6 linked regions of the Canis lupus familiaris genome follow. The protein of the gene in region 5 purifies or fractionates together with the protein of the main gene of each other region. This does not show direct contact. Links are inferred from orthologs where the notes say so. Each region holds a gene or a part of one and is shown on either strand. Other genes may lie near its edges.

What was found.
Region 1: the proteins of RACK1 (region 5) and HELZ purify together in Homo sapiens (affinity purification with mass spectrometry; 3 studies listed by BioGRID and IntAct, counting the BioPlex papers as one, with this or other methods). This does not show direct contact. The link is inferred for Canis lupus familiaris from reciprocal best matches to the Homo sapiens genes RACK1 and HELZ.
Region 2: the proteins of RACK1 (region 5) and RIOK3 purify together in Homo sapiens (affinity purification with mass spectrometry; 3 studies listed by BioGRID and IntAct, counting the BioPlex papers as one, with this or other methods). This does not show direct contact. The link is inferred for Canis lupus familiaris from reciprocal best matches to the Homo sapiens genes RACK1 and RIOK3.
Region 3: the proteins of RACK1 (region 5) and TNRC6C purify together in Homo sapiens (affinity purification with mass spectrometry; 3 studies listed by BioGRID and IntAct, counting the BioPlex papers as one, with this or other methods). This does not show direct contact. The link is inferred for Canis lupus familiaris from reciprocal best matches to the Homo sapiens genes RACK1 and TNRC6C.
Region 4: the proteins of RACK1 (region 5) and LARP4 purify together in Homo sapiens (affinity purification with mass spectrometry; 3 studies listed by BioGRID and IntAct, counting the BioPlex papers as one, with this or other methods). This does not show direct contact. The link is inferred for Canis lupus familiaris from reciprocal best matches to the Homo sapiens genes RACK1 and LARP4.
Region 6: the proteins of RACK1 (region 5) and HDLBP purify together in Homo sapiens (affinity purification with mass spectrometry; 3 studies listed by BioGRID and IntAct, with this or other methods). This does not show direct contact. The link is inferred for Canis lupus familiaris from reciprocal best matches to the Homo sapiens genes RACK1 and HDLBP.

Annotation. Positions count from the first base shown.
Region 1 is NC_049230.1:13,536,576-13,541,386, forward strand, and holds part of HELZ (probable helicase with zinc finger domain), read right to left. Parts: intron 4,375-4,811; coding exon 3,804-4,374; intron 3,392-3,803; coding exon 3,151-3,391; intron 2,124-3,150; coding exon 1,607-2,123; intron 1-1,606. UniProt on the Homo sapiens protein: May act as a helicase that plays a role in RNA metabolism in multiple tissues and organs within the developing embryo.
Region 2 is NC_049228.1:64,905,837-64,910,647, reverse strand, and holds part of RIOK3 (serine/threonine-protein kinase RIO3), read left to right. Parts: intron 1-1,430; exon of another isoform or gene 1,431-1,656; intron 1,657-3,234; exon of another isoform or gene 3,235-3,400; coding exon of another isoform or gene 3,401-3,421; intron 3,422-3,535; coding exon 3,536-3,651; intron 3,652-4,464; coding exon 4,465-4,610; intron 4,611-4,703; coding exon 4,704-4,811.
Region 3 is NC_049230.1:3,938,004-3,942,814, reverse strand, and holds part of TNRC6C (trinucleotide repeat-containing gene 6C protein), read left to right. Parts: intron 1-1,098; coding exon 1,099-1,266; intron 1,267-2,574; coding exon 2,575-2,766; intron 2,767-3,243; coding exon 3,244-3,387; intron 3,388-4,811. UniProt on the Homo sapiens protein: Plays a role in RNA-mediated gene silencing by micro-RNAs (miRNAs). Required for miRNA-dependent translational repression of complementary mRNAs by argonaute family proteins.
Region 4 is NC_049248.1:42,379,096-42,383,906, reverse strand, and holds part of LARP4 (la-related protein 4), read right to left. Parts: intron 4,331-4,811; coding exon 4,118-4,330; intron 3,428-4,117; coding exon 3,324-3,427; intron 1-3,323. UniProt on the Homo sapiens protein: RNA binding protein that binds to the poly-A tract of mRNA molecules. Associates with the 40S ribosomal subunit and with polysomes. Plays a role in the regulation of mRNA translation.
Region 5 is NC_049232.1:611,095-616,525, reverse strand, and holds the start of RACK1 (receptor of activated protein C kinase 1), read left to right. Parts: upstream 1-2,094; 5' UTR 2,095-2,214; coding exon 2,215-2,323; intron 2,324-2,607; exon of another isoform or gene 2,608-2,675; intron 2,676-3,264; coding exon 3,265-3,436; intron 3,437-3,738; exon of another isoform or gene 3,739-3,817; intron 3,818-3,976; coding exon 3,977-4,124; intron 4,125-4,338; coding exon 4,339-4,434; intron 4,435-4,853; coding exon 4,854-4,964; intron 4,965-5,399; coding exon 5,400-5,431. UniProt on the Homo sapiens protein: Scaffolding protein involved in the recruitment, assembly and/or regulation of a variety of signaling molecules. Interacts with a wide variety of proteins and plays a role in many cellular processes.
Region 6 is NC_049246.1:51,351,573-51,357,089, forward strand, and holds the start of HDLBP (vigilin), read right to left. Parts: upstream 3,296-5,517; 5' UTR 3,181-3,295; coding exon 3,143-3,180; exon of another isoform or gene 3,039-3,142; intron 2,450-3,038; exon of another isoform or gene 2,427-2,449; intron 1-2,426. UniProt on the Homo sapiens protein: Appears to play a role in cell sterol metabolism. It may function to protect cells from over-accumulation of cholesterol.

The sequences.
Region 1 (4,811 bases), on a different chromosome or scaffold from region 5:
TGTAGTATATCCATACAATGGAGTATTACTCAGCCATAAACAGAAATGAAGTACTAACATATGCTACAAAGTGCGTGAGCTTCGAAAACATTATGCTAAAGGAAAGAAGCCAGACTCAAAAGGCCACATTTTGAATGATTCCAGTTATATGAAATGTCTCCATAGAGACAGAAAGTAGATTATTGGTTGTCAAGGGCTGGAGGCAGGGAGAATTAGGGAGCAACTACTTAACGGTTATGGCATTTCTCTCAGTTTGACAAAATGTCTTGGAATTATAGAGTGGTGACTGTGACACAATATTGTACATATATTAAAACCCACTAAATAGTACTTTCAAAGGGTTGAAATAATGAAGCTATATGAATTTTATCAGAAATACATAAACACAGAAAACATCACTTAACTGAAAATGACCTTACTATTTAGCTGTTAAGCCCTCCCATTATTAACTTGAAATAATGTCAGATATGTGTCAAATCTTTAAAAGTATGGTTCCAAATTTCTAGATCCCTACAATACATATATACAGATACCAATTCATCTTATGCTTACAACTGATATCAGAAGCCTAAGATGGCAATTAAGCTGTTTTCATGAGAATTATTATATGAGATGAGCCAGTCAATGTCTACTGGAACAATGTGAACAAATTACCTCCAAAACTCTACAAATAAGATAAAGAACCATCCCTATGAAATGACTTTTTAATCAGCATGTACAGCAGAAAATTTGCTAAACACGTGAATCATTTTTAAAGCCTTTAGAAATCAACAAGGAACTGCCAAAATGAAGCTAATGTCAAAAAGATATCTTTCATGTATCAAAATTGGAAATGTTTATCCTGTTTTAATAAAAAGACATTTGTGATTGATAATGACCCCAATCAACTTTCTACATTCTCATCTTTAATCACTGCAAGTTTAAGGGGACCAGCTAGACAACATTTTTATAGTTTACACCAATGGTACCATTTTGGAAGTTTTATAACCTGGAATTACGGAGATTTTCTTATCAGTGAAGGTCCATAGAGATGCTCTTTAGAAATACCTACATATTTTAAGATAAAAATCCAGTTTACCTTAAAATGCCTAGTTGAGCCGAGTCAATTCTAGGTTAAATACACTGTCCATTCTGACTCTCAGATATCAGTATTGCAGTGTATCAACTGCCCCAGGCTAAGAAAGCACCAGGATGATGCCAGGAGGAAGCATAGCACTAGGAATTCACCATTGGCTGAGATAGCCAACATCTATGGAAAGCTTAATTAACACATTTATAACTGACAAATGTAACTTAAGTAAAAAGATGAATCACTAGAAACCATTTGCCCAGATTAGATAGAACAAAAAGCTGCTTGAAGGAAGAGCCCCCTCAGGTCAGTCAGATGTTAAATATTCCAAAACAGCAATAAAAAACTCTAAGGGGCATGTTTCAACAATAATGACCATTCTATAAAGCCTGAAATACCACAATAAGAGTGGAAATTAAAATAAATTCCAGGAAAAGATTACCTTCAAAAGACTACTTAATTCTCTTCTCATCAAATCAATAAATACTAGTATTTTTCATAAGAATTTAATCCCAAAAGGAAAAGAAAGACATTTACCTCTTCTAAGCTAGGGAGCGAAGAAGAAGATACTGTTCGAGATGACAATGGGTGAAATGGCTCTTGACCAATAGCATGTTGATGATTCTGTATTTGTACAAAAGGGTTCTGCGGTGGCCTGTGAGGCAAGGGAGGTAGGCCATAGGGAAAACCTGGCCCCATTAGGTGATTCTGTTGTAAGTTAGCAAAAGTCCATGCTCCATCAGGTGCCAGGTATTTCAAGGGAGGAGGGGCAAGGTGTTCAGATGGCAACGAGAAAGGCGAGCTGAATATCTGGGGCGGTAGGCGCTGTGGAAATGCTGGGTTGTTGGCTACTTCAATGTCTCTGCTGTTGTCATTAAAGTTAGAAAAGTGGCTACTGTGGTCTGTGCTGGATGGGGGAGATGGGACTGCTGGTGGGCTCCTAGTCTGAATTTGTCTATATTGCAAAAGTCTTGATTGAGGTGGTGGCATTTCAGCTAGTTCCCGTGTTTCACTTTGATCACGATTAGATAGTTCTCTGATTAAGTCTTGAAACCTACATAAAGATGATGAAATATGAGGAAAAGAAAACAAAAGCTCTGTCATATCAAGGAGAGCTTTAGTCAACTACGTGTTAATTTTTACAGACAAAATCAGAATATTTCATTTTAGAACTAATATCAATTAATCCCAAAAGTGAGCATTAAAGGGTGCCTGGGAGGCTCAGTCGGTTGGGCATTCAACTCTTGGTTTCAGCTCAGGATCTCAGGGTTGGGAGATCAAGCTCTGAGTCAGGCTCCATACTCAGCAAGGAGTCTGCTTGTCCCTCTCCCTCTGCTTCTCCCCTCACTTGTGTGCATGGGCTCTCTCTCAAATAAAATTTAAATATCTTTAAAAAAAAAAAAAGTGAGCAGTAACACTCAATAAATGCTGAGTTGAAGATACTAAATATGCCCAAGTACCTGATTTCCTTCTTTTCCCTTGGCATTAAAAACAATTGTCCTTGTCTCTACATGTCTTTGATAAATGGCTGTTATAAAGTCACCATCAAGGTGGAATTTGTTCACAGGGATTAGGAAATACTTCATTCCATTCAAATGACACGGCTATAAAAACAAGTTTAGAATAAGGACTGAACACTCATGAACATCTGTAGTTAAAAGAAGATAGAATTCTGTGCAAATGGGGAAAATTGATGATAAATCTATAATTTTTAACTTTCAACCAATAATTTACTTCTGTGTCCATTCATTTCTTGTATTACTACTGAGTATGAAAGAAATGCTCACAGTGAGGGTATATTTCTTTTTCAGGAGAGCCACAAAGCAAGGGGACACATTAATTTTCAATCCACAACAGATTGTCCATGCCCAGATTTGCACCAGTTCCTTCTAAATGGGTTCTCTATATTTTAGAGTCAATCGATAGAACTGTGTAGCATGTGCCTGGAAGGCCAGCATCCAATTTCTTTGGGACAGTATTCCAGCTTGAGGCTAAAAGAACAACACTGAAGAAAGAAAACAGGGTGTGTGGGGAGGGGGAGGGAGTCATGTTTCAAGGTGATTTTTACCCTGCAGAAATACCTTGAGTCTGTTGTTTCTGCTTCATCTTCAGCACTGCTGGGGAGCTTCCAGTCTGCTCTCACTGGTGGCTGATGTAATCCGATGGGTGGCTGAGGAAGATGCTGGAGGTGAGGATGAGGATGGTGATGGTGTGGGTATGGAATACTGCCCTGACTGAGATAGGCGTGATGCTCATTCCACTGCTGTAACCGCACTTGCTGCTGTCTTAGTGTTTCTAGAGCTACACTCCCGTGCATACGATCTGCAAAATATCGGGGAAGAATTTAAGTTTTCATGCATTTGGGTTTCAGGTTAATTTGGGGTTTCAAGTAATCAAGTTTTTTCAACCAGATTTTCTTCACAGAGACAAAAGACATGCCTACAACTTGGGTTTTGGAGAAAGCAAATGTTTTCTAAATTTGCCAGTAACTAAAGTCATGGTAATGGTGATGATGATTCTTTCTTACCCATGTAATCCTGTAAGTTGGATCAACTAGATACTTAATATTATATAGTGTTTGGAACAAGATTCTGTTAGACAAAGCAACTGAATTCTGCTGCCATGATTTGAAGAAATGAATCAATCCTGACCCAAATTAATATTGCACAGTACATGTCAATTTAAGGAAATTTTCTCTGAATTCGTCACATCCAGCAGTGACAGGAGAACTTACCTAAAGCCTCCCCTATAGGCAATCCTGGGGGGTTCTCATCAGTGAAGTTATTCAGATGTGAAGGAAGGAGGGGGCCAGGCTGCGCAATGGCTCGCAGAGGACTGTGGCCTTCTTGCAGCATGGGAGGGGGCTGCTGCTCAGGAATCACAGGTTCTGCAGGAGGGGACTGTGGTCGGTGAGAAACTGCACTATTAAAGAAAGCACTGTTGGGTCCTGCCTGATAGGCAGGAGAAAGTTGAGGAGGTGGCTGCTGAGTCAGCTGGTTCAACGGATTCTGTGGTGGGACTACCTGATTCGGTTGGGGTGGCATCTGATTTGGTTGTTCAGGCAAATTATTCTGCTGCTGATTTAACAAGGCGTGCTGCTGCGGAATTGGAAACGGTGGTCTGGGTAGCTGTGGAAGGGGATGAAAATGACGATTGGGAATTGCATACTGTGCATGAGGAGCAGGGAGAGGAAGATTTATGTGTCTCGGGTTGAGATTATCTTTGCGATGAAATTTGGCATTGGGATAAACAACACCAGGACGCGACTCAGGACTTCTGTTCTGTGGATTTGATTCCAAATCAATCTAGAAAAAAATAAGAAGTCTTTCTTAACTATGGAAGATCTGGGTCCTGTGGCTATCTACCTTTTCCCACCCCTAGTAAATCTACAGGATAGGATACATTCTTATCCGTCACAGCTGAGGACTGGGTATCCACCCAATCACTTTTTGACAACCGAATGAGGGAATAAATATCTTTTAAATTAGAAAAGATGAAACAGAAAAAGGCATATTAAATTTGAGTCATAAGGAGAAATACTACCATCTTATTAACATATCCACTTTAATTCCTTTAAAAATATATTTTTAATTTCACAGTTTCTTCCTCGGAAAGATAACCTTTGCTTCCTTCTGATATAAATCATTAAAGTGTGTCCTTTCCTTCCAATTTTATTGTTTTTATAGATCTCTTTCTTCAAACATATCTATATTAATTTAAAAAATACTTGTGTCAATTTAAA
Region 2 (4,811 bases), on a different chromosome or scaffold from region 5:
TTTTCACAGACCAAACAGTTAGTTAGGCTGTATGTATTTCTTAATGCTTTCTTCCTCCAATCTCTTGGAAGACCTAAGGGATTATCGAAGGCTTCGTGGAGGTGGAGATTTGAGGAAGGTCTTGAAAAATGGAAAGAGTGCCAAAGGCCAGCGATTCTCAAAACTTTTTGGTCAGGATGAATTTATACTCTAAAATATCATTGAGGACACCAAAGAATTTTTGTTTATATCAGTTACATCTTTTAATATTTGTCATATCAGAAAGAAAAGTGAAATAGTGAAGAATTTTTTATTAGGTGATTTCAAAGTCATCATATGTTAATACAAATATAATTTTCATTTGTAACCCCCCCATTTTCTAAAAAAAAAAACAAACAAAAATAGTGGTTTAGTATTGTATTTTTGCAAATCTCTTTAATGTCTGATTTTTTTTTTTTGAGATTTTATTTTTTTGAGAGAGAGAGAGCAAGCAAGCAAAGAGCATGAGTGGAGGGAGGGGCAGAGGGAGAGGGAGCCTGACTAGGGGTTCCAACCTAGGACCTCAGGATCATGACCTGAGCCAAAGGCAGATACTTAACCAACTGAGCCTTCCAGGCATCCCTAATGTCTGATTTAATAGAAGACTTTTGTGATATGTTTTAGTTGAAATATATGAAGGGCAGCCCCGGTGGCACAGTGGTTTAGCTCTGCCTGCAGCCCAGGGCATGATCCTGGGGACCCTAGATCGAGTCCCACATCAGGCTCTCTGTATGATGCCTGCTTCTCCCTCTGCCTGTGTCTCTGCCTCTCTCTCTCTCTGTCTCTATGAATAAATAAAATCTTTTAAAAAAATGTATGAAGGCATGGAGGGGTGAAAGTATGCCATAATTAGCATATAATTATTGTTATTTACGCATAGGGTACATAAGGGCTGAGACTAGAAAGATAAAGTGGGTCAAATTTTGAAAGACAATCCTTGTTGAGGAATTTGGATTTCATACTGCAGGCAGTATAGTGATTTGTTTCTCACATTCCAGAACTAGGTGATTAGGGAAGCAGTATAGCAAAATGCTGAGGGCAGCCTCTTAAGTTCTACTGCCTTGGTTCAAATCGTAACACTTCCATCTACAGTGTTATTTTGAGTTAAAAAAAAAAAAAAACCCTTCTGTGTCTCAGTTTCTCAATCTATAAAATGGGGATGATAGATAGAGATATTGATAACTACATAGTGGTTATGTGTCTCAAATAATCTATGCAAATTATACATATTAGGCAAATGACTCAAATATAGTGAATATTCCAGTCTTGTCTGTTACTCTGTTGTCATTGCAAAATGTGGTTGACAGATCTGAGTTAGAGAATACAGCCATTTGCCTTTTGGATTCTGGACTTTGAAACTGATCAGACCAGACATTTCTAGGTTAGGACGCAGCATTATGTATTCTTTCTAGAGGATTCAGAAGTCAGCAGGAGTCATTGGCCAAGAGAAAGCTGTATTCTCTGGATTACAGAGAACGTCAAGATTCTAGACCTCAAAATCCTCACCAGGAGACTGCTCATTTGCACCTGAAGATCTGAGTGAATGAAAGTCACATCAGACCTTGAGAAAGCCTTCCTTGTATTCCCCACATCTGGCTTTATGTGAGGCTGGAATAATTCTGCAGTAGACTAGTATAGGTATGTTCTGGGGGCTGGGTGCATCTCATTAATCTCCAGATGAGGTTAGATAAAACTTGATTCTGATTCACTTAGTCATAAGTATAGTTATCATTTGAGCTTCATCCTAACAACCTGAACCAATTAAATTCCTGAACTTCAATGCTATAGAACCTGAACAAGAGTGGTAGGCCAGCTAGAGTACCTAAACTTGATTTAAAAGTTCCATGGCTAAAACAGGGTGTCTGGGTGGCTCAGCCAGTTAAGCATCTGCCTTCGGCTCAGATCACGATCCTGGGTCCTGGGATCAAGACCCTTATCGGGCTGTCTGCTCGGCAGGGAGTCTATTTCTCCCTCTCCCTCTGCCCCCCACCCCCAGCTCCTATTCACTCTATCTCAAATAAATAAAAAAATTTTAAAAAGTTTTGTGGCTAAAACAGATATCATATGCTATATTCTAAATTCTAAATTAGACACCAGCAGTAGTTAAGGAATGGGTTTGGACTTTATCCTAAAGGTAGTAGGAAACATGAAAACAAAGAGCTTTAAATAGGGAAACTGAACTAATCAAATCTGCATTTTAGAAAAGCTGGTGTGCTATATATGGTGTGGAAAATGGAAACAAGCAGGACTGGAAGCAGAAAGATGAGTTAGGACTCTCTTAATAGAGTAGCCTGGTAATGGGAGGGTGATACCTTGGAGTAGAATCTCAGAAGGAAGATAGAGAAAGCTAGGTCAGTTCAAGAGATTTAGACATATTATTCAATATTAGTGGTCTTACTCACAAGTGTAATCATTTCCTGCTGCTAAGGAAAGCTTGCCCCCTCAAAAATTAGGAATTGTGAAATAAACTTACGGTTTGTATTTCAAGAGGGCTGAGATAGTTATGCCATTGAGGAAGTCCAACTGGCTGATCGTCCAAGAAGAGCCTCACAGAATATTGCTTTGTTGTAGTAGTATTATTTCAAGACTGTTTCTTAGCTTCTAAAGTTCAGAAATGTAGATTTTACTGTTTGTCATTGTTATTTTTGTTTCAACGTATCCCCAGATGTCTTGAGAGCAGCTGACATACACTTTACACATGTAGAAGACTTACTCCTTAAATTAGAATGAGGTGTAACTTCTAAGTGGGCTTTGAACTGTACTAGTTGGTGTAGTCTTTTCCTAAAAGAGAATCTACAGGGGCATCTGGCTGGCTCAGTCCGTAGAGCATGCGACTCTTGGTCTCTGGGTAGTGAATTCCAGCCCCATGTTGGGTATAGAGATTATTTAAAAATAAAACCTTTGGAAAAAGAGAGAGAGAGAGAGAGTCTTCATGGGAAGCCAGATTAAAAGCAGAAGATTATTTGGTGAGCATGCAATCAGAACAAGGGTGGTTGCATGTACTCATCAGATAGTGGGGTAATGCTATAATGGCCTGATGTTCCTCCTCAACTAAAAAGACACACCTACTGAACAGGTTAGAAAGTGCTTTGACAGATTTAATTTCCATTTATCTTTGATTAGATTTGAGCTGGGAGATATTTTTACCTTTTTTTTTTTTTTTTTTTTTAAGATTTACTTTAATTGAGAGAGAGAGAGAGAGAGAGCACAAGAACACCCGTCTGAGCCGGGGGTAGGGGGCAGAAGGAGAGGGAGAGATATCTCAGGCAGACTCCTCGCTGAGCATGGAGCCTGATGCAGGGCTCAATCCCGTGACCCTAAGATGACAACTTGAGCCGAAATCAAGAGTCAGACACTTAACTGACAGATACTAGGCATCCCAATGACTTTGAAGATGATTTCTGTAAGTAGGTAATTATTTTGGGTTGATTTTTTTAATTCTCTAAAGATAGCTTTATTTTCAAGTTTAGAAGGTACTTTCATTTTTATGAATTAACCCCTCCTTTTCTTTAAATAGTGTCCATGGGCTACCCCTCAAAACACAATATCTTGTTCCTTGGCTGATGTAATGAGTGAACAGCTGGCTAAAGAATTGCAGTTGAAAGAAGAAGCTGCTGCTTTTCCTGAAGTTACGTAAGTAAAATTCATAAAGAATCTATTTTGTCCAGCAGCTTGTTATGAAAGTTTTAAGATTTGATTAGTGGTTGTCTTGACCAATGATTAAGAAACACATTTTGAAAATCAATGCAGTAGAAAGAGCATCATACCAGGAGTTCACTGATATTTGAGTTTTGGTCCTGATTCTGTGATTAGTTGTCGGTACTATCATGGGCAAACCACTGTGTTTCTCTGGATTTTAGTTATTGCAACAGTTGAACCACATGATCTCCAAATTAGCAAATAGTGAAGTAGGATACAGGTTTGATTAAATATTGCTGTTTTATCTTCTCATATATGTGTTATATTTCCAGAACACAGAAGAAGATTTTTGAGTTTCAGTTTGGATTTATTATGGCCCTTTTATTTATTTTTATTTTTTTTAAGATTTTATTTATTTATTCAAGAGAGAAACAGAGAGAGAGGCAAAGACATAGGCAGAGGGAGAAGCAGGCTCCCTTTAGGGAGCCCAGTGTGGGACTTGATCCCAGGACTCCGGGATCATGCCCTGAGCTGAAGGCAGATGCTCAATCACTGAACCACCCAGGCATCTCTATTATGGCCCTTTTAGCATTTTTGTGTAGCTCTCTTAATCCTATTTGGTGCTTTTACAAACTCCTGGCATTAGTCAAAGGGCAGCTGGACAGAAGATGAATGATTTGATCGAATTTTTCCCTTTTTTCTTCAGTACAATTTGTAACAGTGAAAAGGCACTCTCTAGTCCCATAATTGGTAGCATGTATATATGCAAGCACATTATATTAATTTATGTTGCCTTATTTTGAACAGTGCCTCTGAAGGACCATTTATTACCGGAGAAAACATTGACACTTCTAGTGACCTAATGCTGGCTCAGATGCTACAGATGGAATTTGACAGAGAATATGACGCACAGCTTAGGCGTGAAGAAAAAAAATTCAATGGAGATAGCAAAGGTACTGTGACCTTATTGTGAAACCTCCATTGGGTGGCAGGAAATACTTGTAATGTGTTCCTAAATAAATCTTCATTTGTTTTTGCCTTTTAAGTTTCCATTTCCTTTGAAAATTATCGAAAAGTGCATCCTTACGAAGACAGTGATAGCTCTGAGGATGAGGTTGACTGGCAAGACACTCGTGATGATCCCTACATACCAG
Region 3 (4,811 bases), on a different chromosome or scaffold from region 5:
TGGGGAGATAGGTTCAGGCCAAGCATTTTAAAGGCCAGGCCAGAGCCCAGCCTTGTTGTCCACTCACCTGACTGGATCTGTACAAATGGAAGTAAAGATTGCCATCCGTGTGAACCCCACACAGGCAGCCCCAGGCAGCATCTAACATGCACAGACATTTTGTTTCATCTGCAGAGTTGTGTGTGTATTTGCCACTATCCCCACCAGGCCCACTTCATAGCCACTGGGCCCCTGTATGCATTTGACTTGGCCATCACGGATTTAAAGCCAAGAACAAACCTGATTGATACTTTGCTTAGGAGTACAGATTAACTTTGACTCATGTACCAAGATGTACAGTCTGTGGATCCTAGGGTGCGCACCTGCCAAGTATTCTCCACCAGCTGAGCATTCAGTCCAGCTCGTAACTGGTGGCCCCATCAGGGACTCTTTATCATCCTCCTCCCTCTCCTTAGTAACCTGGCACGGTGTTGCCAGATACAGCAGCAGGTTCTTTAGCTGTGAGAAAGAAAACCCAGGGTTGGCATGCACTCCAGCTGGGGGCAGGCAGCAGTCCCCGATGCTCTCCAATAGGTCAAGTCCTTAAAATGAGTTTGATATTTAAAGTCCTGAAGAGCAGACTTTTAGTAAAGTAAGTTCACTCAAAGTGGAATTGCGTTATTGCTACTAGATTGTTCTGGAGGTGCTACTTTAGAACACTGTCAGAACTCTGAAAGAGTTATATTGATCTGGTGAGTTTCCCTAAGATATCCTAAGATCAAAAAAGATTTTCCAAATTGTCTGGACTTGCACTGTCTTTCTGTGGGTACTGAGGAGCACTGGGACCATGTTTAACTCTGAAACGTGTGAAATGGAGAGTTGTTGGTCTTACTTAATCAGAGAATGTTCATTTCCATTTCACCTTAATTCAGGAATAATGTTCCTGGAAACTTAACATGTTGTTTAAAAGACAAAAGTTTTTCTTTCTACCAGCATTAAAAGTTAGAGTGAAGTATGTGGCCATGAGTTAAGACTTGGATTGATTCTCCAGGAGAGCTTTAGAATGCAATAAAATCTAGAGGAAGAGTAGGCATATGCTAACAGCATTTCTATTTTTAGCTGGACTGAACCCAAACATGAATGTCAACAGCATGGACATGACTGGTGGTTTGTCGGTGAAGGACCCGTCCCAGTCCCAGTCACGTCTCCCTCAGTGGACACACCCCAACCCGATGGACAACTTACCCGGTGCTGCTTCTCCCCTCGATCAGAACCCCAGCAAGCATGGTATGTCTAAGCTGGGGTGCCTGTGGCCCAGCCATGCCTGTTCCAACTGCTGACTCTCCAGGTGTAGAGCATACTCATTCTATCACTCCCACTGAGTCTCTTGTCTAAGAATTCGATCACAGAGTGTGTAATCTGGGCTGTGGTCAAACTTTCTGAAACCTCAATCTTCAGGTCTTTGCTATAAACCCAGCCGGAGTTGAAAATACCCCAGGGCAACAAAGAACATTGGTCATAGTCTGCATATTTGTTATTGATACCTGTGTTCTTCAATAAAAAATTTGTCTACTGAGAAAAAAATTTTTCAATAAAATGATGAAACACAATAGAAAATCAAATGCTTAAAAAAAAGAAGCAAAAGTGCTGATAACTAGAGGAGGTGACCTCACTATTAAGCATTAACTTTAGCTCCCAGTTTCCTGATAGCATAAATAGGGAAAATGTAATAGACATATGATTCTTTCTTGATATAAATATTCTAAAAGGAAAAACAAAAATTAATAACCGTTAATTCTACAAGAAAATCCTCACACGCTACCGGGGCACCTTCCTGGCCTTGGCAGGAGAGCATAATCGCCTCTGGCAGGGCGGTCCAGTCCAGAAGATAAGGGCTCTGTGTTCACACACCCAGTGTGTCCTTACAGAGGGAGGGCAGGACACACACAACTGCAAAGTCCATAGCTAACTACAGAGACTCATAAGCTGGCCCAGAATGGCACAGGCCTGCTTTCAATGGTATGGGTTTGTGTTTTATCAAGGTTTCCAACTTGAGAAACTAAAATGGTTCTTAAGGAATTTTGTTTGGTCTTGGAGTGCCTGGATGGCTCAGTGGGTGGAGCATGCGACTCTTGGTCTCAGTTTGTGAGTTTGAGGCCCATGTTGGGGTTGAGATCACTTAAAATCTTAAAAAAATAAAAAGAGGGGGGCCTCAGTGGCTCGGTTAGGCGTCTGCCTTTGGCTCAGGTCAAGATCCCCGGGTCCTGAGATGGAGCCCTACATCAGGCTCCCTGCTCAGCCGGAAGTCTGCTTCTCCCTCTCCCTCTGCCCCTCCCCACTACTCTTGCACTCTCTCGCTCACTCGCGCTCTCTCTCTCAAATAAATAAAATATTTTTTAAAAATAAGTAAAACAATTTCAGTCTTTCACAGATGAAGTTTGGGCTAACCAAAATGGTTACTTATCTTTAGAGAGTGCTGGACAAACCAAGTCTGATGGTTCATGTACCTCTGAAAGGGGCGGGGCCCAGTGCCTAGTAGTGAGGGTCAGGAGCTCCCATGTTCACTCAGCTCTTTGTTTCCCACTGTCCCCACAGGTGCTATCCCTGGAGGTCTAAGCATTGGGCCTCCAGCTAAGTCCTCCATCGACGACTCCTATGGCCGGTACGATTTAATCCAGAACAGTGAGTCACCAGCCAGTCCTCCTGTAGCTGTTCCCCATAGCTGGTCACGTGCCAAATCTGACAGTGATAAAATCTCCAATGGCTCCAGCATCAACTGGCCCCCAGGTAAGAGTGTGCAACGCTTCTGTGCAGCAGCAGATCAGAGCTGCCCCAAGCCTGAGGAGAGCAACTCTGCTCCAGAGAAGCCAGGATCTGAACTAAGAGTCCTAGAAACACGAACCCCATAGCTTTGGCTTTTCCCCTAGAAATCTGTTTGTCACACAGATTTGGGAAGTGGTTAGCACCCAGCGTTTTTCTGTAGTCCCTCAGTTCAGTGAGGGGAGTGGAAGGAGAATGGATGCTGTATCTCATCTGGCCAGACTGTTTCTAGACTCCACACCATCTGAACACTCTCTTAATGTGGCCACTATAATCCCTACTTCTAGCTTGTTCCAAAGGGTGGGTGATTTACTGAAAGAAAGTGAAGGATGTGTCTTCTATTCTAACTAGCAGATTATAAGAATTTCCATGAATTATCATGAAGGAGTGTGAAGATATTGTATTACTCATGTTTTGATTTCCATTTTGTTTGGAATTTTCCAGAATTCCATCCTGGAGTTCCATGGAAAGGACTTCAGAATATTGATCCCGAGAACGACCCCGACGTCACTCCTGGAAGCGTCCCCACTGGGCCCACCATTAATACCACCATACAGGACGTCAACCGCTACCTCCTCAAGAGTGGAGGTGAGGAGAGCGGGACTCGACCTGCTTGGCACAGAAGGCCTCCTACGTGCGTTCAGAGGCGCCAGGGTGGTGTGCGGGCTGTGGGGCAGGGATGCTGTGAGACACATCTGTGAGCACTTCTCACCATCTGGAGATAGTGCTAATGGTGAAAATGGAGATTGATTTGCTGGATTTATGAACACATCCTTTCTGAGCCCTGTGCCAGTACATCCCGATATTAACCATTAAGCTTCTCAGTGAACAGGTTCCCACTTAAAATTTATTGAAACTGCAGGCAGATTGACCCCTTACTTACTTCTCCACCCCAATCTGTTTCCTTCCACAACGTCTGGTAAAAAAGTCTGAAATCCGTCCCCAGCACTGTGTTCCTGGCACAATCGTGGTGCTAGATCTGGGCTCACCCTGTGTCAGCCTTGGACCCAGCAGGAGGAAGTGAGGAGCTAGCTGTGATGATGGAGGCATACATGCCGCTGTCAGGCATGATGCTGAGAAGGGTAGACGGAGCAGCTCTGGAAGTGCCCACCCTGATACAGTGGCAGTGCCGACATCCAAATAGTGGGAGGGAATAGCTAGGCTGCCACAGAGGCTCATCCCCAGTAAGACCACTCGGTCCCAGAATGTTAATTCGGGTTTCCCACTTAAAGTGAGACTGGGAGAGAAAGGTAGGGTTCTTTAAAGTGATAGGCTTCTAGGTGTTGCTGTGGTTTGGGTAGAAAGCCAGCAGAAGTACGGATCATCCTGTTCAATGTTGTGCATGCCTCGCTTCCTAGAGCAGCCCTGCTGTTGGGGACAAAGGAGTGGTACAGGGGACAGGAAGTGGAGCCTGTGTGAGATGCCAGGGGGCAGGGTGAGTCACAAGCAAGCAGTCAGACTCAGCCCCCAGTGCTTGTCCCTGTAAGTGTGGCAGCAGGGTCATGTCACAGCAGGAGTGTCCGTTGGGGTATTTTGAGGATCTTGGGCAGGTGTGAACAGACTGCGCTGACCCAGGTATTGAAAGACCCCAGAAAGAGTTGAGGTTACTCAGCGTAGCACAGAGCTTCCTGCTAGTGCCCTGTGGGTCCTCTAGTGGTCCCCTGGAGCATTGCAGGTGACCTCCACATTTGCACAAGCGTGCCATGATGTGACAAAGGCGGCCTAGAGAAGTAGGTGAATTCTAAGGGCAGGTTGCAAGCAGCTGTCCTCCAGTCCAGCGTGGCTGAGACAGAGATAGGCAGATAGAGGCACTGGTGTCAGGATAAGATGAGAAAGCGCAGTCTCCAGCTCCAAGGTAAAGAGTTAGGCAGCGGTCCAGCCTGGGCACCTCGAAGCTCACGTGATGTCATGTGACTTCTGGGGGCTGTCAGTGGCCAGTCTTAGGCAGCTCCCACCAGGCTCCTGCATGCCCTGGAGAACCGTTGGTTCTCTGCTCCTTTGCCCCTCGTGGT
Region 4 (4,811 bases), on a different chromosome or scaffold from region 5:
AATAAAGTACTACTCATGTATAATTTTTGTAACTAAAAACTAACAATCTGTATTGGTCAAGTATACAAAAAAGGATGGTACATGAATGGTTTTGAATAACAAGCAAAATTATACTAAACTTGTACCTTTAAAAGCATAGGCACATCTCTTATAAGCAAGGATGACTGGACTATCATTCTTGGCTTTGTTATTGTAATTTCAACCTTTTCACCAAGAAAGCACAGCAAATAAAAACAAGTGACAATAAAGGAACACCAAGAACCCATTTAATACATTTTTTAGTCAAAAATCTACAAATTGCTAGTACTTTTAGTTATTAGTTAAAAATTGCTTTTAGGGGATCCCTGGGTGGTGCAGCGGTTTGGCACCTGCCTTTGGCCCAGGGCGCGATCCTGGAGACCCGGGATCGAATCCCACATCGGGCTCCCGGTGCATGGAGCCTGCTTCTCCCTCTGCCTATGTCTCTGCCTCTCTCTCTCTCTCTGTGTGACTATCATAAATAAAATAAAATAAAAAATTGCTTTTAGTCTATCTGATAAGAAAGATGTATACTCAACTGTCTAAAGCAAAAATCACTCTTAAAAAAAAAAAGGTGAAATCAACAGATACATATTTCTAAAAGCTATTTCTAATCAGAGTAATCTGTATTTTCTTTTTTTTTTTAATTTTTATTTATTTATGATAGTCACAGAGAGAGAGAGAGAGAGAGAGAGAGAGAGAGAGGCAGAGACACAGGCAGAGGGAGAAGCAGGCTCCATGCACCGGGAGCCCGATGTGGGATTCGATCCCGGGTCTCCAGGATCGCGACCTGGGCCAAAGGCAGGCGCCAAACCGCTGTGCCACCCAGGGATCCCTAATCTGTATTTTCTAACAAGGAAGTTGCAAGCTGTCATTTATTCTAATTAAATTATTTTTAACAGAAAGCTTTACCAGTTATGGTAGAAGAAAGGAAGGATCTAATCTCAAGTCTGCTGATAATACCTAGTCATGTAACTCTAAGCAAGACTTTTGTCCTCAAGAGCTTTCACTTTCTTCATCTATAAAAGGAGTTAAAACTACGCCATTAACAAAGGTCTTTCCAGATTTAAACACCATTCTATGTGCTCATTGGAAATTAACCTTTTTGAACAGGATGGGATTAAAGGACAATATATGAGGCTCCCTGTACTTCTATTCGTATGTCCCAGGAATACATGAATTTTGCAGTTGTTACTTTATTACCAAACTAAGAATCATCTACAAGAGCACAATAATCTATTTTTCATTTATTTTTAAAAATTCTTTTATCTATGAAGAATCTTTCATCTTGTCATATGACGAGATTACATTTGAAATTTCATAAAGCAGTAAGAATGGGCATATGTAGTAAAATTTTTATGACACTTAAAAACAATTTTCAAATGTTTTAACTAATTGTGACAATTAAAATGAATACAAAAAACTATGACTATCAGAGGATGGTACACATGAATGCCTCCAGAATCCACTGAGAATATTTAATACTACGAGTATTCTTTCTCCAGTGAAGCATGTTTCAAGTAAACCTTACAAAAAAGAATTAAGTTCCTAGAAGTAATTTCAGAAGAACACACCCCATCTAGTCTCCTTGCCAAAAAGAATCAACTGGGAGAATGAGATCTGGCAAGAGAAAATCACTGGAGAAATAATTTAAAAAGCCAAAATCCAAAACTCAGGAGGCCCACAAAATAAGCAAACAAAAAACAATAAATGTGAAACTATTAAATAAATCTAAGCAACTATATAAGCCCTTTGTTCTTAGGTCACTCATACTGTCAAAAGCCATAATATATACCAAGTTATTTTTTTTTTTAAGATTTTATTTATTCATTCATGAGAGACACAGAAAGAGAGAGGCAGAGACATAGGCAAAGGAAGAAGCTCCGTGCAGGGAGCCAGATGTGGAACTCAATCCTGGGACTCCAGGATCATGCCCTGAGCTGAAGGAAGGCAGACGCTTAACCGCTGAGCCCAGGCGTCCCCAAGTTATTATCAATTGTTTATATAAAAATAACACTTAGAGACTTATCTTTTATATGATAGCAAATAATTCCCTGAGTTCTCAATAATTTATTTAGAACACTTTTTTTTTAAGTGTTGGCTTTGAAGTCAGATTGTGTGGGTTCAAACTTTTGGTTCTCTCTGTTACTAGCTACATGCTCACAGACATGATATTTAACCTTTTATGTCTCAATTTCCTCATCTTAAATAGATATAATAACTATCTATCTTACAGGGTTATGAAAATTGTGATAAAATATGTAGTCTTTAACAAAGCTTTAGACATTAATGTTCCATAAACGTTAGTTTTGTCTGCTGAACACTACAGTTCGTGGAAATTTCAAAAGTCAATTCTCAAAAATCCCAAATAACTCATATTCCCAGCATACAATACTGAAATCAGCTAACACTTCTATCCTCAAAAAAACTCTCATTTTCCAAAATGTTACCTATTTAACATACTAAATGGTACTTAAATACCAGATTTTGTTACTATCATAAAACAATTTTCTATTTTATTAAAAAATCAGTATGAAAAAAAAATCAGTATGTATTATGTACAATCTCAGTTCTAAGTATTTTTTACACACATTACCTACTCTAAAGTCAAAGTGTGTTTATTAATTCTAAAGTAAATCATTTAAGTTTTTTTACTAAATCTGTAAATAAGCACTGCTATTAACACAGTAATATTTTAAGAACTACTGGGAATTGTGTACAACATAATCCACTATATTTTTGTTTTTTATTTTTATTTTATTTTTTTTTAAGATTTTATTTATTCATGAGAATACACAGAGAGGAGAGAGAGAGAGGCAGAGACACAGGCAGAGGGAGAAGCAGGCTCCATGCAGGGAGCCTGACATGGGACTCGATCCTCGGTCTCCAGGATTCCAGGATTACGCCCTGGGCTGAAGGCGGCGCTAAAACGCTGAGCCACCCGGGCTGCCCTATTTTTGTTTTTTAAAGATTTTATTCATTTATGAGAAAGAGAGAGAGAGAGAGAGAGAGGCGCAGAGACACAGGCAGAGGGAAGAGCAGGCTCCATGCAAGGAGCCCAATGTGGGACTCGATCCCAGGACTCCAGGATCACGCCCTGGGCCGAAGGCAGGCGCCAAACCGCTGAGCCATCCAGGGATCCCCATTTTTGTTTGTTTTTATGTAGGCTCCATACTGAGCATGGAGCTCAATACAGGGCTTGAACTCATGACCCTGAGACCAAGACCTGAGCTGAAAGCAAGAGTTGGACACTTAACTGACTGAATAATCCAGATGCCCTTATTCCCCTACGACTTTTACCTTACCGATTTTTTTGGAATGGTCGAGGCATATTCACAGCAGCAGCATTTGTTTTATAAGATCCTGGTGCATTAAAGCCATTCACAAAACTACCATTGGGAAAGGGAGCCTAAAAGAAAATGCAATGTTTAAAAGCAATTTTTAAAAAAGGGTAAAACCTAGTGTAAAGGTTTAATAAACTCCTGATGAACTAACCTAGGATCAAATTTTTAAGATTTTTTATTTTTAAGTAATCTCTACACCCAACATGAAGTTTGAATTCACAACCCTGAGATCAAGAGTCACATGCTCCACCAACTAAAGCCAACAAGGCTCCCCCTCAGTTTCTTTTACAATGCAAAAATAATCTTAAGCATTTTACTTACTCACTTTTGTAACAGTCACTTGTTCAAGTATCACTTGATTTACAGAAAAAGGAATCATTAAGTCATTACTTAATAAATGTACTTTATTTTTATTTATTTTAAATAAATTATTAAATATAATAAAGTATTTTATTGTACTTTATTTTAACATTTCTCTCTGAAAAAGTTTAAAGCATTTTAAAACTAATCAGGATTTATCCAATCTCTTATTTTAATTTATTCAGCAAAATCTAAAGAATAAAATAGGAACCAAATAGCTCAACTCTTAGTCACATGGGAATTAGATATCCTTGATATCCTTATCTCTACCTTAAAAACCAGAAAGAAATCAGTATCAACACAAAACACAATAATAAAAAGTGATTACTCTAGCTGATTTCTTAAAATTTCAGCTTGAATGAAAAATTTTATAATTCTCTAAGGATCTCACTTACCAGTGGTGTTTCAAAGTAAGGTGCAGGATTTGGTGACCAAGACTGAGGCACAATACTATAGACCGAGTATTGTTGGTGAGGATTATATACAGGCTGCATAAAAACTGGTGAGGCATACTGTGCTTGAGTTTGAATGGGCTGACTATACATGCTAGAATCCATTAATCGATAACCATTCTTAGCAAAAAATGTATTGATGGCTTTTATCCTTGCCTAGAAGCAAGAAGAACACATTATAATGAAGAACTCAGTGTATATTTTCACAAGTATATTTAATTTACATTTTAAACATATTTAACCAACCATATTATTTTTGCCTACTTATAGAGTCAGTGGAGCAAAAGGAAAGGATAGCTTTAAGCTATTTAAAAAACTTTTGCATGGCAAGTACAACAATGAACAACGTAAAACTACAAAAGTCAAGATAGTCAAAAGAACTGCAACTTATGACAAAGGGGCTAATATTCATAGTATACAAATTCTAAAAACAGAGATAAAAAATGTATTAGAGAAATGAACAGAGTTCACAGAGAAAAGGAAGGCAAATGACTCTTAAACATATGAAAAGATGCTAAATCTTGCTTGTAGGAGAAATGCAATTAAAATGGAATTAACAGGGATGCCTGGGTGGCTCAATGGTTGAGCGTCTGCCTTCAGCTCAGGGCATAATCCCAGCGTCCGGAATTGAGTTCCA
Region 5 (5,431 bases):
CCTGGGGAGGACGAGGCTAGCCGAGGAACGGCCCCCTCTGGAAAGGGGCCTGGTGGTGACGAAAGGTCGAGTCCTTGAGCATGCGTGAGAGACCTGGGAGGCTTGTTTTAAACCTGTCCTCCTGGCCCTCTTTCAGAGATGTTGATTCCACAGGGGCTCCTTAGCAAAATTCAAGAATACAGAGAGCCAAATGAGATTTCTCGAGAGGAGTAAATATAATATGACTAACCAAGGATCTCTTGGGTGAAGGCAGGAGATGAAGGAACGCGTATTCTTGAACTGAGAGGAAATCCTCTGCATGTACAGGCCAACACAGGGGAGTGTTTGCTCTGTGCATTTCCACAGCGTGGAAATCTCTCACCTCTCTATTTGTCCCAACCGCCCAGGGCACTGGCACGACCCGAGCTATGAACAGTGAACTGGATACTGGTGTGGGTGAAAGTAAGGGTCTCCCATTACCAAAACAGGTCAGGGTTGGGGTCGACTTCGAGTTTAGTGTTAGAAGAAAAAGACAGCTAATTGGGGGTGCTACGGAGGCATTTAAATGACCTTCGCAACTGGAGCCCTTGAAGCCTACTCAGAACAGCAACCACCCTGAGGAGCCATGTTCTTTCCCCCAGACTGCGGGCCCTCTGTCAGCTGCCCCTCACGCCTATCTCACTGTTCGGTTTTCAGCACTTCCAACACCTCCAGGATGTTTTGCACTGAGCATCCCTGCCCCCAGAACCTTATCCTCCCGTGTATCCACAGGGCTGTCTCCTTCTTCGTCTCTTTGCTCCAATTTCCTTCCCCCTCACTCCATCAAATGTAAACTCCAAAAAAACCTGGTCCTCACCCCCCTCTTGCTCACAGCTGTATCCCTCAAGACCTAAAACAGGGCCTGGTACCCAAGAGGTGCTAAGTTTGCCTGCATTTATTCTGCCAAGCATTGTTCTGGGCCCTTTACCTACCATAACTCATTTACTCTTTTCAACACCATTTTGGGTGGGTACTATTATTTCCAACCTCATTTCACAGATATGAAACTAAAATTAATACATGTTACAAACAGAAAATAAATACTTATTATGTATAATTCCCCCCCCCCTTATTTTGCTTAGATGATAGCGAATGGTACCACCCTGGTACCTCTCCCCCTTCAAAAAATATGTGACAGGAGCGCTGCCTGCCAGCATCGTCTCTCAGTTATCAAGGAGGCACTACATATTCACGTACCATGCGGCTAAACAGGAGGCCGGTAGGCAACCTGGGAACCCTGATCCACGGTGTCCCAGGCAGGTGGAACCTCCTTAGGGGCACGTCTGGACTCCCCAGACCCGCAGACCTGCCTGAGAGGCGGTGAGGCTCAGAGCCCGCTTTCACTCGAGACCCGTAAGTCAGAACCCGGAGGCCTTTGCTCTCGGGGTCTCTGTCTCTGCGTCGGCTCTCCGCGCTCCTGCCCAGGTGGGAGCCGGGGACGGACATGCAGCCCACGGGCCGATTGTTCGTTCCTCCCCGGTTTTCCGCTCCGTAACCTGTTCCTGTGTTTACTTCTGCCTGGACTAGGTCCTTCCGGACAGGGAGTGCCTCAGCCAATTCCCTCAAAGCAAAAACCTCTCCAGGGAGGAGTTGCCCTCTGCGAAGGAAATCAGTCAGAGTTTACTGGTTCACCTAAGTACAGTGTATTTCAAAAACTGAATACCATATTTTTCATATTCCTTACCGTTACTGGCAGTTCTCACCTCGAAATTGAGCTCCCTCAGCCTGGCCCTCCAGACCACCAAGCGGAAAAGGCAGGGCTCGCGCTGTGCCACGTGGGGGCAGGGAAGGCGCCGGACGTTCCTTATGGGAACATGCTGTCTGTGCCCGTCCCCTCTTCGTCTTCTTATACATCACGCCTCAGTGGATGTTTGAGGGGCCTTTTTAAACACCTGGTGGAGTTGGTTTCAGAATGACTTGGCATGGCACTGCCAAATTATGTTGCATGGCGGAGGCGACCATAAAGTTTTGCCATTTCATCTCGCCTTTTGACTTACGAGGCGCCGCCATCTTAGGCAGGAGTGAATAACGGGGGCCGCCATTTTTGCTCGAACGGGAGGGTATTTCCGGTTCCGGCGGGGACCTTTTCCTTCTTTTCCTCTGGAGGGCCTTGTCGGGAGCGGCTGTGCTGCTAGTCCTTCTGAACTATCCATCTCCATCCTTGTCGCCGCGGCGACACTCGCTCTCGCCGCCGCTATGACTGAGCAGATGACACTTCGTGGCACCCTCAAGGGCCATAATGGCTGGGTGACTCAGATCGCCACCACTCCCCAATTCCCAGACATGATACTGTCTGCTTCTCGAGGTACGGGCTAAGGTGCGGGGCAAAGGATTGAGGGATAAGTGGGTTGCGCGTGTCGCTTGGCGACTTGGAATACTCCGTCCGGGTGTGAGTTGGGGCATGCGGACCCGGGCCACGGCCTCCGCTTGGATAAACCCGCGAACCATCCCCGCTTGGCAGAGACGGAGACCTAGGTCAGCTCGTGGTCGCCAGGAGGATTGCAGGGTTGGGGTTTTATTTCTTGCCCATCTTCTCGCAGATGTGTGTAGGTGTGTAGCTGAGTGTGCTCAGGAGATACGGGGTCGGGCGGAGCGGTGATGATGCCAACATGCCATCTGAGTACCTGTGCTGAGAACCAGAGGCTGTTTCTGAGCTTACGCCCGGCCCGTGCTTAGTGGATAGACTGCAAGAACTCCCCTCGTTTCTTTTCATTCACTGAACCTGGCAGCATTCGGAGGCTTCTTGTGCCTTTTGCTGGCCCCCACACTATTAAAAAATAGTCTGAGGCCAGGATCATGTTTGGAGAGTAATTGGAAAACTTGTTGTTACTAACACGTTTCAGTGAAAGCATCCAGTCAGGTAGGATGTAAAGCAATTTTTCCGAATGCAGCCATTAGTGATTGTAGGAATCCCACAGCCAAGCAGCAGTGTTTATGCTTTAGACCTCAGATCAGACTCCAAGAATTGAATTGATCTGTCAGAAAGGGGCATCCATAATATGCTAAAGTTCTGCACACCAGAGTTTAATTTTCATGGCATTGCTTAGTTCTACTTGAATCTTTTTTGAATAGCCAATCACCTTGGCCTTGACTAGTAACAGCTCACACCCTGTAGTTCTTCCCCCTTGAGAGTCCTTAATTTGTTACCTTTTAAGTCCACCGATGACACTGAGGGATCCTGGATTATCCAGTAGGTCAGCAAGTGGGCTGTTAACTCACTGAGTTTTCTTTTTTACCTCTCCTTAGATAAGACGATCATCATGTGGAAGCTGACTAGGGATGAGACTAACTATGGCATCCCACAGCGTGCTCTTCGGGGTCATTCCCACTTTGTTAGTGACGTGGTCATCTCCTCAGATGGCCAGTTTGCCCTCTCAGGCTCCTGGGATGGAACCCTTCGTCTCTGGGATCTCACAACGCAAGTAGCTGCTCATTTAACTCTGGGACACTGGGCAAAGGCTAGGCAAAAATGAGGTAGATGCTGTTGGGCGGTGGTTTCCAAGGGAGATTGAGGTTCATTGTGGGTACTTAAGGCAAGAAAGTACCTAGAAAAGGTAGTTGGGATTGTTTGGCTTCTATCCTTGCTGGTTTAATTAGTTATGCAGAATTGTTAGAGGAGTGGGCTGGTTGAGTTTTACCACATACTGTGGTTGGGAGTAGGCAAGTGTTGAACATGTTTTATCTTGGGAGCTCAGTACTTGGATGGCCGGGCATAATGAGCATCCCAGTGATGACAGATGACATTGTCAGCCAATCCCTACGTGGGAGTGAGGACATGTCCTGCAATTCTGAAGGGATACTCTCATATATGCTCAACCATGGGCCTGTTGTGATCAGACCTATGTCCAGGGTCATGTGAGTAATGGCAGCTCCAGTGAGACAGGAACAGACCAGGGAAACATTCTGATGTGGAAGAGTGTTTGAGGCATCTAGAGACTGACCACGTCCTCCTCCTCAGGGGTACCACCACACGCAGATTTGTAGGACATACCAAGGATGTGCTGAGTGTGGCCTTCTCCTCCGACAACCGGCAAATTGTTTCTGGGTCGCGAGATAAAACTATCAAGCTATGGAATACCCTGGGTGTATGCAAGTACACCGTACAGGTAACTGAAGGCACATGTAGAAACTTCTCTCCCACCCTTCTTAACCTTGGCTTTAAGGTGATTTTAAGCCTGGCCTGGACTCTATAAAGGGAGCTCTTGATATTAATGGTTTGGGTTCTAGGGTTGTGAACACTTCCATGTAACTGAGGGAAGGTGAGGTTCTGGTTTCATGGAGACAGGATACTTTCTCTAATTTCTTTTCCATCCTCTGCAGGACGAGAGCCATTCAGAGTGGGTGTCTTGTGTCCGATTTTCACCTAATAGCAGCAATCCCATCATTGTCTCCTGTGGTTGGGACAAGTTGGTCAAGGTGAGCTTGGAGCCAGGGTATAGGGCCTTCACCAGCCAGAATGTTCTCCCACTGCCTCTCAGGTGGTCATAGGATCTAAGTTTGAAAGCTTTGTCCCTCGGTTCACTTTTCCTGTTGCACTCTTCTAAGTACAGGCCAGTGGTTTTTGATATTTGGTCTGAAGTAGCTCATGAAGCCCAGTGTCCCTCATAAAGCAACACATAGAACATTTGTTACCTTTTTTAATCTTGATTGTCCCTTAGGTGACCAAGACAAATTCTTTTTAACATTTTTGTTACTGATAGAATGAAAAATGGTCACCCTGTCCTGGAATGCTTTTAAATTAAGTAAATCGTGCCTTTTTTGTCCTGAGCAGTCCTGACCCCAGTTGGTTCAGAGCCAGATTCTTCACCTTTTACCCTCCACCTTACCAAACCTAGGTATGGAACCTGGCAAACTGCAAGCTGAAGACCAATCACATCGGCCACACGGGCTACTTGAACACCGTGACCGTCTCTCCGGATGGATCTCTCTGTGCTTCTGGAGGGAAGGTATTCAGAAACTGGGAGTTTACTACTCAGTGAGGGACTGTTTTAAAAAGATATTTAAGATATTGAGGTAGCAACCAAGAATAAATATCTTAAGATTGCTTCCTGGAAATGACATAGATAAGGCATACTGTTTTAAAGAAAAAGATTGTTTTCAGTAAAGCTGGTTTCTTGAAACTGTTCTTTTCAGAACTGATTGTTCTTTTCAGAACTGATTTATTTAGAAGTTGTCAGAGACATCGTAGGGTTGGTGAGGTGCCCTGCATTAAAGGAAAGGCATTCAGAGATAAATATTGGTATTTGAATCATTCATTAGTTTTTGGGAAGTTTGCGGGGGAAGGGGGACTGTTAAGTAATAAAAAAAATTTTTGAGGCAGTTAAGATTAACAACTGCAATGGGTTTCATATTGCCCTGACTCACCTTTCCTGTCTTCCCAGGATGGCCAAGCCATGCTGTGGGATCTCAATGA
Region 6 (5,517 bases), on a different chromosome or scaffold from region 5:
GGGAAAATATCATCAGATAGTACAGAAAAGCCCTGAAACGAAAGCCAAAAATCCCAAACATAAAGTAGCCTGAAGCAAACTGTGACTTCAAAGAAAGAAAACCCCCCCAAACTTAGGAACGTCCTCAGAGATAAGGGGAGGTACAACAACAAGCTACGAACCAAAACCAAACCAGGATGTGAGAAGGCTGGAACAGAGGGGGCAGGAGGACAGTCTCAGGGACATGCATGGAGCACAGCTCAACAATACGGCCCACATAAAGTTGAGAACGCCTTCCAGAAAGTGGACAACCCAAGCAAAATCAGTGTCCATCCAGAAGGCCCAACAGTTGAATTCCACAAAAAGAAGGTGAATGGGAAGAGATCAAAGCAATAAATTAAAAATGTCTAGTGTTGAAGAACGGGACTTTCCACGTAAGAGGGGCCTAAAAAGTAGGCAGGACACTACATGGAAACAGACTCCGAGGGACATCACTGCGCTGCGTGTTGTGCATTTCAGGGAGGAAAATCCTTTAAGCTTCAGAACAGAAATATCCACGTATAGAGGCCGAAAAATCAAAATGTCAGAAGCCTTCAACAATAACCCTCAAGACAGAAGTCAGAGCAAAATGGTGTCTCTCACCCAGACACACGGGGAGAAACAGCATTTTCGACATTCTTGTTCTCGAAACTTTATCTCCCCTTCATCTGCCCCCGGGCAACGCCTTAAGGAAGCGTTCCACCACAATGAGGGTAGCCAAGTCCAGAGAAAGGGACACTGGTGTGTCCTGGAAACCAAGGACCCTATGAAGGGGTCGGGGTTGGGGACCTGCAAGAAGAATACAGCAGGTGGGAGCCTGGAGGATGTATATCCAAGAAGAGATTAATAAAATACTGAATTTCATCAGACAAAAAAAAGGACTGTTTCTTGAAAGCTGATTTAGACAACTGGTCAATTTGGGACCGTAATGATAAATACACAGAAAAAGCAAACAAAAAACAAGACTCATAAGAACACCAGGAGAAACAAAATCTGATGACGTGGAAAAGGTAAAGTAATCGCAGCACACCATCTGCCTAGCTGTGAATGGCCCCATGGAGTCAGAACATGAACACTCAAACCTGGACTAAGCAAGGTAAAGGTGCACGGGCTTCAGGCGGCCGTGTGTGCACGCAGGGAAGGTAAAAGGAAGCTACAGACATCACATTCCTTCTCAGGGTTAAGTGAGGAGACAAGGCGTGCAACAAGAGGAAAGCCATGAACCAGCAGGCGAGCGCATGTGCCGCTCAGAGTTGGAGGCAGAGACCAAAGGAGCCCACCAAGAGGGGGACGTGTCTGCTCTGCAGGAGAATTGACAGGACTGGGGAAGGCAATTCAGGGTCTCCTTGAAAGCCTTCCTACATTTAGTATTCCTTTAAAAAACTACTTGAAGATACAACCTTGATTTGAAATAAAATTAGGTCTTAATTTTAAAATCCACATGAATGCCAATAAAATGTATTAAGGAAGAGCACACATGGTCAATGTACTGTTATGAAATTAATTGCAGCCATCAAGATGACACGTCTGGAACAACACGCCTGGCTCGTCTCTAGCAGTACTTAAGGAACATTAGCATGCCTGGTCAAACAGCCCACTAGGGATTGTCACTTGTAAAATGTCTGATTTTAGAAACACACACACACACACAAAAAGAACTTAGGCACAAAATAACTCGTGTACTCAATTTCTAAAAGGTCATAGAGATGAAGACCGTTTGATTTTCTTGGTCTTCAAATGTCGAACCTTGTGGTGCTTTTATAACTAAAAGGAAAAGGCACTGTGACACGCTGATGCTCTCTGGGTTTCCACTTGGTCAAAAGCTTTTCAATATGCGAGGAGCTGGACCTCTTGCCAGCAGCTTGGCAACTAAACTCAGTTGTGCGCTGTTTCTTCCAGGAGCTTAGTTATTTCTTCCTAATGAGAAAGGGCAAAGCTTCCTCTGAGCGCGGGCCCTGGGGGGGGGGGGAGGTGGGGGGTGGATGTAGGCTCAATGGACCGCACCCAACAGAAGCACCCTTCGGGACTCCGAGGAGTGTGTTCTCTGCTCACACCACCCTGGCAAATGCGCAAGTTTTGTTTGGGAAGCATGAGTGCAGAACCTATGGCATCGAGTCGCGAGTCACGCGGGTAAGTCACCCAGGGGGACGCTGCAATCCCGGGAGAGCCTGCCCTAACCGGGCCGTCCTGGAGGACAGAGAGGGCGCGAAGGCCTGCAGGACGGGAGCGGCGGGACAGTCAGGGCCGGGCCAGCCGCTCGACCTCCCGCCCGTCGCGTCCCCTTGGCAGAAGCTCGTCTTCCCGATCACAACCCCCGGTTCTGGCGAGACTCCTGCTCCGAATCCAGTCCGAGAACCGAGAACCACGCCGGGTGGAACCGCAGCGCCGCCTCCTTCCTATCTCCGTACCTGGGGCCGTGTGTGCGCTGCTGCCCTCAAAACACTGCAGCCCGCGCATCCCCGCGGGCGAATCCCCCGTGCCAGGCCACGAGCTGCTTCGGGAAGAGAAAAACCAGCGCGCGTCCTCTGCCCTCTGCGCCCCGGGGCCGAGCGCGGCCGCAGGCTTCCCCGCCAGGTCGGGGCGGCCGGGGTCGCGGGGCTCGGGGTCCAGCGGGGGCCAAGGACGCGGGCGCACAAGGGCGAGGGGCCGCGCTCCCGGCCACGACCTGCGGGTGCGAGCGCGCCGAGGTCCCGGGGCGGGGAAGGGGCGCCCGGGCGGCGCACCCCGGGCCCGCCCCGCCCCCCCCCCCCCCCCCCCCGGCCCAGGCCGGAGCCCGAGTCCCCGGGGACGGCCGCCGCGCTCTCCGGTTCGCGCACAGGCCCCGGCCCACGTGACCCGCGGCGGCCAATGGGGCCGAAGCCCCCGCACCAGCGAGACGCGGGCGGCCCGGGGCTAGAGCGGCCCGCCCGGCCGCCCGCCGCAGCCCCCGGCCCCGCTCCGGCGCTGCCCGCTCGGCGCTGCCGCCATCTTCCCGGAGGAGAGCGCGGAGGCGGAGGCGGAGGCTCCCGGCCGCGGCCGCGCCGCACCCCGGCCGCCCGTCTTCCCCTCGGCGGCCCCCCGGCTCGCGCTAAGCAAACGCCCTCCCTCCCACGCCGCGCACCCGCGAGGCAAGGACCCGCGCTACCTGTTCCGCTCTGGTCGGCGCCAGGAAGCCGAGCTCATAAGGTGGGCGCCGTGGCGGAGCAGGGACGAGCCGCCATCTTGGTAAAGGAGAAGAGGCTCCGCTTGACCTCCCCCCGCCCCCAGCCTCTATATGGCCAACCGCCGTGGGAGGGGCGCGGCGCCTGCGCAGAGGCGGCCAGCGCGGACGGGCCTGCGCTCTCGGACGCGGCGGGCGGGGGCGGGGGCGGGGAGGAGGCCGGGTCGCGCCGGGGCAGGGAGCGCGGGCGAGGGGGCGGGCCGACGTGGTGACGCCACGCGCGCGGGGCGGGGCGGGCCGACGTGATGACGCCACGCGCGCGGGGCGGGGTGGGCGGCGGGCTCTGGGCGGTCCGCGGCGCGGTCGGTGGGCGCCTGCTTCTCCGCTCGTCTGGTCGGCGGTGAGTGGCTCGCCGGGGCCCCGCCGTCGCGGGGTGGGGGGGTGCGGGCTGTAGGCGGGCGCGGCGGAGGCCGGCGGGCGGAGGGCGGCGGGCGGAGGGCGGCGGGCGGAGGGGGCGCGGGCGGCGGCCCGCTGGGTGTGGGGGAGGGGCGCAGGCCCGGGCTCTCCTCTGCCCCCGGGTCCGTGCTCCGCCCCGGGGCCCCTCCTCCGCCTCGGGGGCTCTCCTGCGCCTCGGGGTCCCTCCTCCGCCCCGGGGCCCCTCCTCCGCCCCGAGGGCTCTCCTGCGCCTCGGGCCCCTCCTCCGCCCCGGGGGTCCCTGGTCCGCCCGGGATCCTGGTTCGCTGCAGGCCCCTCCTCCGCCCCGGAGGTCTCTCCTCCGTCCGGGGTCCTCGTCCTCCCGCGGGCCCCTCCTCCGCCCCGGGGGTCCTCCTCCGCCCCGGGGGTCCTCCTCCGCCCCGGGGGCCCTCCTCCACCCCGGGGGCCCCTCCTCCCCGGGATCCTGGTCCGTCCCTGCCCCTGCCCCTCCCCCTCCTCCGCCCCGGGGTCCTCGTCGCTCGCGGCGGGACGTGGCCGGAAGAACCCGGCGCGGCAGGCCTGGGCGGCGGGGGAGGGGAACCGGGCGGGGCCTGCGGGGTCCGGCGAGTGCTCCGGCGCGGGGTCTCGTCCCGGTTGCGGCCTCGCCCCGCGCGCCCCGCCCCGCGCTGCTCTGGGGCTGGGGTCCGGCCCTGCCCTGGGCGCACCGGGCACGTGCCCCGCGCCGGGACGAGCTGCTCCGACGCGGCCGTGCGGGGTCCCCGGGAGGTGCGGCTGCGGCCCGGGCGGGCCGTGTGTGTCCGCTCCCCGCAGGCCGCCTGTCGCTCCCGGGGCCCGGCTCGGCCCGGACGCTGGCCGGGAGCACTCGGCCGCCCAGGGGATCCTCATGCTTTTCCCCTTTTGCATCCTGACCTGCCCCCTGGCACTGCAGCCCGGGTGACGACCGGGGCTGCCGGGTCAGGTCAGATGTGCACGGACTGCTTTGGAGCTGGCAGGGCGACCCAGGGAAGCGGGGGGCGCGGCTGCCCTCGTCCTCGCTCATGAGTGCGCTTCAGGCTCCTTTCTAGACCGACTCCGAAGGCGTAAGCTAAGAGAAGGGCGCACCAGAACCTGCTGCAGCATTGGGCCGAAGGCCTTTTACCTTCTGTGTTTACACCACGTCGTGCTGGTGGTCACACGTGTCGGTGTCTGTGACGCGCTGCCCCGGTAGCCGCTGAGCTCACGCTGTGTAGGAGTCGTGCCTCCCTCAGATCCAGAGAATCTGAAGGTCGAGTGTCTCAAGAGCTTTGGATTAGGGATAACGGACTCTCGGGGTCCTCTTCAGCGTCGCTGTGTGGGTTGGGGCCGTGTGTGTAAATGCAGGAATAACACGACCGTGATGGGTAGTTAGGGCAATCCGCTGGTAGAAATACCACTAGCGAAATACATTTACACGTATTGCCAAGAATCTAGTTTTATCCATCTGTTTTTCATCTTTTGTTTTGGAAAAGTTGCCTTGTTCTGTGTGAATTGGGATGGGAGTGTTGCCCTGTGGAAGAAGGAAGCCATGCTCAGGAAAAGACAGACGTCTAAATTGCCAGCGTCTAGAATGAGCACAACCTGAAATGAAAGAATGAAGTTTTTGTTTGACCACATTGAGTGTGGGGGATCCAAATGGTCTGCAGTCATGGTGTAAATCACAGAGCTTGGCATCCCGTGTTGCAGGCTTTCTTAGTGAAAACCAGGTGCTTCAAAAGTTCCGTGGTTTGGTCCTCTTTCAGCTTCATTTTACATTAATTAGCTAGTAGCTTATGTTGTTAGAAAGTCATAGTGGATCCAAATTATATTTCAGGAAAAAACCTGAATGTGAAAGAAATAGGATATGGCAAGAAAAGCTTGCTAAATTAAAATAATTCATAGCCTGTTCCAGTAATGGTATTCTCCATTTT